Ovis aries: one gene and its partner. The protein of the gene in region 2 purifies or fractionates together with the protein of the main gene of each other region. This does not show direct contact. Links are inferred from orthologs where the notes say so. Each region holds a gene or a part of one and is shown on either strand. Other genes may lie near its edges.

Region 1 (3,781 bases), on a different chromosome or scaffold from region 2:
ATGCTATGGAGAAAAATTAAATTAGGAGGGGGCTCGAGATGTTTATTGCTTTATTTAATTTTTAAACTTTTTATTTTGTATCGGGGATAGCTGATTAACAATGTGATAGTTTCAGGTGAACAGCAAAGGGACTCAGCCAGACATATACGTGTATCCATTCTGCCCTGAACTCCCCTCCCATCCAGGCTGTCACATAACATGGAGCGGAGTTCTCAGTACTATACAGTTGGTCCTTGTTGGTTATCCATTTTAAACATAGCAGCATGTACATGTCCATCCCAAACTCCCTAACTGTCCCTTCCCTGCAGTAACTATAAGTTCATCGGTTTTGTGAGTCCTTTGCTTGGACTAAGCATCATTATTTCCGTCACTTCATCAGCATCATCTCATTTAATCCTTACCAGAGCCCACTGAGGATAGATGTTTATCCATCATGAACAATCCCAGGCTCCAGAGATCCCACAGCTGCTAAAGTGAAAGGGAAAGAAGTTGCTCAGTCATAATCCAGTTCTTTGTGACCTCCTGGACTACACAGTCTGTGGAATTCTCCAGGCCAGAATACTGGAGTGTGTAGCTGTTCCCCTCTCCAGGGGATCTTCCCAACCCAGGGAGCGAACCCAGGTCTCCCGCATTGCAGATGGTTTCTTTTACCAGCTGAGCCACAGGGAAGCCCTAAGGGTGCAGATTAAAAGCCCAGGTCTGATGATCCCAGAGCCAGATTTTCTCTGACACTCCAGACTTGGTGGTAGGTGACAGCCTCCCCAAGGCCCAGGTACACACCCTGCCAAGCATATCTCTGTAATTTAGTTAGTGTCAATAAATAGAAACTTCCTACCTTATTTCCTGAGACTTTGCTGAAGAAATACAATATAATTCATTATCATTTCCTTTATACAGTTTAATTTATTTTTATTTTCTTTAGGAAAGGGAAATGGGCAGGTGAATTTTTTTGGCAGGACTGCCGATTTGATAGACTAGTATATCTGTTGACTTAGTCATACATTAGACAAGATGAAAGTGTAATTCCACTAAAAATGTCCTGTCTTTGCTTGTTCATTTAAGACAACTAAGAAAATCTGCTTTCATTTATCTGTAACAGGAAGGCAGCAAACTCTGTAAAACAAGGCACAGCTGGGGTGAGGAAGGGGGCCAACATATGGGGTTATTTCCATCAGAAAGAAATGTGTTCATCCTCTTAACCCTAATCCTCTACTTAGGTATATGTACTTTGTCGCCTATGGGAGGTTTTTAATTATCCGTTATTTTTCAAAACACATCCTACTTGTTTAGATGACTTTCTTTTTCTGCTGTTTCAATTGCTGTCTACATTGGTAACACATAGTTGGACACCAAGAGCCATAAATTAGCTTGAGTCAGTTGTTTAAAGTGTTGGCATTTTTTCAGATTGCTTAAAGAGTTGTTCAAAAGAACGTGAATTATGACCGAACCTCAACCTTTAATTTTCAGGGGATGAGAGAGAAATGATTTCATGGTGTTCTTCTGAACGATTGTTTAAAAGAGGCTGAAAGAGACCCGACTCAAAAATCTTATTTCATATAAACAGTTTGATGAAAAATGGGTTCAACTTGGGAACAAGGAAACGGGTCTGATTATCAAGGGTACGTTCCCCTCGGTTTATGTATTTTATTTGGAAGGGAGAGAGTGGAAATGGTTTTTAGACACAAAGAGATTTCTGCTGGAGGGCTTTCCTGGTCTTTGGTTACACGCATTGGGTCATTTAACACTGTTTTTCTAAATCATTTTCAACTTCTCTTTTGACTTAGCAGCAGTCCCAGTAAGTTAGTTGAATCAAGAAAAGTCCAGTTAAAAGGAGATGTTCAAAACCCCAGTTGTCATTCAGTCAATAAGTCATGTCTGACTCTTTGTGACCCCATGGACTATAGCACTGCAGGCTTCCCTGTCCTTCACCATCTCCCGGAGCTTCCTCAGACTCATGTCCATTGAGCCTGTGATGCCGTCCAACCATCTCATCCTCTGCCACCTCCTTCTCCTCCTGCCTTCAGTCTTTCCCAGCATCATGGTCTTTTCCAATGAGTCATCTTTTTGCATCAGGGGGCCAAAGTATTTTTGTAGCTTCAGCTTCAGCATCAGTCCTTCCAAAGAATATTCAGGGTTGATCTCCTTTAGGACTGACTGGTTTGATCTCCTTGCAGTCCCAGGGACACTCAAGAGTCTTCTCCAGCACCACAGTTTGAAAGTATCAATACTTTGGCACTCAGCCTGCTTTATGGTAAAACCCAGGACATCGGATAATTCTATCATGCTGATTTGTATTTCTATGGATGGTGGAGAGGCTTTCTACCTGACTTAGACTGTGATTGGGATGTCATGGAATTTGGGGAGAATCAGCCAGGTGAATCAGACCCCAGATTTCAGTGGTTGGTTTCTGTCGATTATGCCTGGCTTGTTGTCTCCATGTCAGGGGTGAAGGTTTCCCAGGCTTCTTTTCTTTGTGGCTTGGGACAACATTCTGCCTCTTCTTGGGAGCCCACCCTCACCTCCTGTTCTTTATCTTGCACAGTGCCTTCTCCCAGTGCCTTGCTGGTCGACAATCCCACACCCTTTGGAAACGCGAAGGAGGTGATTGCAATCAAGGACTACTGCCCAACCAACTTCACCACCCTCAAGTTCTCCAAGGGCGACCACCTGTATGTCCTGGACACGTCGGGCGGGGAGTGGTGGTACGCGCACAACACCACGGAGATGGGCTACATCCCCTCCTCCTACGTGCAGCCCTTAAACTACCGGAACTCCACCCTCAGCGACAGCGGGATGATTGACAATCTTCCAGACAGCCCGGATGAAGTCGCCAAGGAGCTCGATTTGCTCGGGGGGTGGACGGATGCCAAGAAGGAATCCAGCAAAGCCTACAGTAATAATCCTTTCTGGAGCGGAGTCCAGACGAACCCATTTCTCAACGGGAACATCCCGGCGATGCCCAGCGTGGACGAGCTGACGCCCAGAAGCGCCGTGGACTTGCTCCTCTTCGACACGGGGACGTCCTCCTTCACCGAGTCCAGCTCGGCGACCACCAACAGCACCGGCAACATCTTCGATGAGCTGCCGGCCGCCGGCCGCGTCCCTGCGGAGCCGCCCGTCAAGCGGGACAACCCTTTCTTCCGAAGCAAGCGTTCCTACAGCCTCTCGGAGCTCTCCGTGCTCCAGGCCAAGTCCGATGCGCCCGCGTCCTCAGGGTTTTTCACGGGCTTGAAATCGCCAGCCCCCGAGCAGTTCCAGAGCCGCGAGGACTTCCGGGCCGCCTGGCTGAGCCACCGGAAGCTGGCCCGGTCTTGCCACGACCTGGACCTGCTGGGCCAGAGCCCTGGGTGGGGCCAGACCCAGGCGGTAGAGACGAACATCGTGTGTAAGCTGGACAGCTCAGGGGGCGCCGTCCAGCTGCCTGACGCCAACATCAGCATCCACGTGCCCGAGGGCCACGTGGCTCCCGGGGAGATGCAGCAGGTCTCCATGAAGGCTCTGCTGGACCCCCCGCTGGAGCTCAACAGCGACCGGTGCAGCTCCATCAGCCCAGTGCTGGAGGTGAAGCTGAGCACCCTGGAGGTGAAGACCCACCTCATCCTGGAGATGAAGGTGTCAGCCGAGGTGAAGAGCGACATTTTCAGCAAAAGCACGGTGGGCCTCCAGTGCCTGAGGAGCGACTCCAAAGAGGGGCCCTACGTCCCCATCCCTCTCGCCTACAGCTACGGGGACACAGTCCAGGTCCAGCTGGACAACCTGGAGCCCTGTATGTACCTGGCCA
Region 2 (2,908 bases):
GGGTGGGTGAGGGTGCATCGTGACTGCTCCCCCAAAAACGCCGAGCCTTGGGGTGGGTTCCTCCCTATCAGCACTGACTGGGGCAGGCTGAGACCCCATCTGAAGCCCACCCCATCTTTCTTTCTCCATGCCTTCTGGCCCAGACAGCAAAGAATCTGCCTACAATGCAGAAGACTGGGGTTCGATCCCTGGGTCGGCAACCCACTCCAGTATCCCTGCCTGGGGAATTCCATGGGCAGAAGAGCCTGGCAGGATATACAGTCCACGGGGTCGCAACGAGTCAGACAGGACTGAGCGAGTAACGCTTTCACTTTCTGGCCTGGGGGCTCTCCGGGCCACTGGGTCAGAACAGACAAGGGCCCACTGCCTCTTGCCCACTGTTCACATCAGGCCAGAGGGTGGCGGGAAGCTTTGTTCGAAAGGGAGCAAGATTTGCACCCTGAGTAGACGAAGAAGCTCCGGCCTTGCCTGGAAGCCTGGTGGCTTGCAGCCAAGAGCCTCATCAGGCGGACCGGGTGGGAGGGGGCGGGTGGCTGGGGCCAGCTCTTAATTCAATTTGGAGCCCGAAGAGGATGGATTTCAGCTGCTACATTCTTTCCCAGCCCTGACCCACCCTCCTCTCCCACCCCGAAGCCAACACACAGATCCAACAGCAGATAGATTCTTTATGTTCCAGACAGCAAATTCAGGTACAAAAGCCCACCACCATCATCCCTCCCTCCTGCCCCTTCAGTCTGGGGCTGAGCTGAGGGAGACACGAGCGGGGCTGGGGAGGGAGGGAGTTTGGGGGGGTTTCACAGCAGACTAGTGTTTCAAATGCGGAGGTAACAGACTCCACAGTGAGGGGGCTCCTCTGGGGAGATGGGGGGGGGGTGGTGGAAGAGGAGGGCATTATTGCATTTGCTGAGGGGGGGGACACACCCCCCTCCTGCATTCCCTGCATCAGGAAACTAGGGAGGTCACGACCCCCAAACAGAACCCGAGGCCCCAGGGAGATAGGAGGGACCAGTTTGGCAGCTGAGGCGGAAAGTATTGGGGGCAGGGAGGTGGGGGTGGCCACCCAATCTGGCTGGTCCCTCTCCACCGCTGTGCCTGACCCTGGCTGAGGTAGGTGGGGAGGAGGGCGGGGGTGGGGGGCTGGGCGCCCCAGCCAGGCTGGGAACTGGCGAGGGGGTGGTACCGATTGGAGGAGGGGCAGAGGCCCAGCCCCACCTCCGCTCCGCATCATCTCCAGGCTACTGAGCTGGGCCAGAGCCAGACACTGGGGTCCAGGCTACGGTGTCTCCGCCCCAGAGGCTCCCACCGGGCCTGGCCCAAGTCATCTCGAGGTCCAGCGGAAGGCCTAGTAGCGGCCAACCTTGGCGTCCCCGATGGCACCCCAGACGTCAAAGACAAACTCATCCGGGAAGGCGAAGTCACCCAGCCGTTCATCCAGGGCCTCAGCCAGCTCATCCGGGTTCCTTTTGTCCTTTCCGAGCTCCACCATGGTGGCCGCTGGAGGGGGAAGGACAGGGGAGCAGAATGGAGGCACAGATGACAGAGGGGCTCAGGGTAGACTTGGCCCCCCAGGACCTGCAAGCCCCTTTCTCCCACACTCCCACCCATCCCCAGACCCTGATGACCCCCTCCTCACTTACCCAACTCTGTGTCCCTGATGCCCATGTAACTCTCTAACAGGTCATCCACCTTCTCAATGGCCTTCTCCTCAAAGGCTGAAGGCTGGGGGCGGAAAGAGGGAAGACGACATTATAATAATGTGAATATACCTGTAATTATACTGAACGCTGAGTGCAAATTTTTTTTTACACCACTTTTGGTATAGAAACCCACGGTTCTTCCTCATGACAACCCCAAAAGTTTCACAGATTAGGAAACTGAGGTCCACTTGCCTAAGGAAGGTCCCAGAGCTGGGAGGTGGCAGAGGTGGATGGACATCCAGTGCCCAGAGGCCCTCAGCTAAGAGTGATGCTGCCACCTATGAATTTCACAGGAAAGTGGTGGTGGGGGGTGGAGCGGGGAGGGACTTAGGCTCGGCTGGCACACTCACCAGATCCTCTACTGTGGCTGGACCCCGGGATCGGAGCCGGAGGGTCCCTCGGCCAGTACCCAGCTGGGGACCGGAGCCAGGGCGGCCACCCCCTGAACGCACGCTGATCATGTCTGTGGGAGATAGGGGGATGGGGTGAGGACTGGAGAAGCCCAGTTCCAGCATGTTCTGGGCAGAAACCCAGACATCCCGGCCTCAGCCCACCCTCCACCTTCTCCAAGCTTCTGTAGGCTTTGGGGGCACTGGGGGTGGAGGTGACCCCAGGAGGGCAGGTCTCCTGACTCTGGCTTGGCGGGGTGTAGGAGGCACAGCCAGGGGCTAGGATTGGAAAAGGGCTGGGAGGCTGGAGGGGACCACTCCTGTTCCCAGGGCCGGAGGGACAGGAAGGGGATGGGTCCTGGGTCTCTATCTACTTTCCCCAAGGCCAAGGGGGTTTAGCTGCTGGGCAGCAGACCAACCCTATCTGCCTGGGGAAGTGTTTTAGACCAACCCTATCTGCCTGGGGAAGTGTTTTAGAGTCCCCCTCCCCCACGCCAGGGACCTTGAGCCCATTCCGGAGAGTTAATGAAGCTGGACAAAAAAGTAGGGGGCCTGGCACAGGGCAGCCAAGCCTGGCTTCTTGGGGCTAGGGGGTTGGCCAGGTTGGGGGCGCTTGGCTAGGCTAATGGCTCCTGGAAGCTGGGTGTGGGGGCAACTTCCTCCTTGCCTCCATCCTCCACCTGAGCTGGGCAGAGAGCCAACACCCTCTCCCAGCAGAAGGGTGGGGCTGCCCCACCCCCTTTCCCACCCGTTACCACCAGCTGGGCTTGGGCACCACCTGCTGGTGGCCTTTGGTACTGCAGGCGGGAGCTGGGGGCTGGG

Evidence for each region. The genes of interacting proteins can lie anywhere in the genome.
Region 1: the proteins of GIPC1 (region 2) and SH3BP4 purify together in Homo sapiens (affinity purification with mass spectrometry; 4 studies listed by BioGRID and IntAct, with this or other methods). This does not show direct contact. The link is inferred for Ovis aries from reciprocal best matches to the Homo sapiens genes GIPC1 and SH3BP4.

What each region holds. Positions count from the first base shown.
Region 1 is NC_056054.1:6,061,780-6,065,560, reverse strand, and holds part of SH3BP4 (SH3 domain-binding protein 4), read left to right. Parts: intron 1-1,467; 5' UTR 1,468-1,575; coding exon 1,576-1,619; intron 1,620-2,174; coding exon 2,175-2,251; intron 2,252-2,542; coding exon 2,543-3,781. UniProt on the Homo sapiens protein: May function in transferrin receptor internalization at the plasma membrane through a cargo-specific control of clathrin-mediated endocytosis.
Region 2 is NC_056058.1:9,615,343-9,618,250, reverse strand, and holds the end of GIPC1 (PDZ domain-containing protein GIPC1), read right to left. Parts: intron 2,161-2,908; coding exon 2,048-2,160; intron 1,720-2,047; coding exon 1,638-1,719; intron 1,495-1,637; coding exon 1,343-1,494; 3' UTR 646-1,342; downstream 1-645. UniProt on the Homo sapiens protein: May be involved in G protein-linked signaling.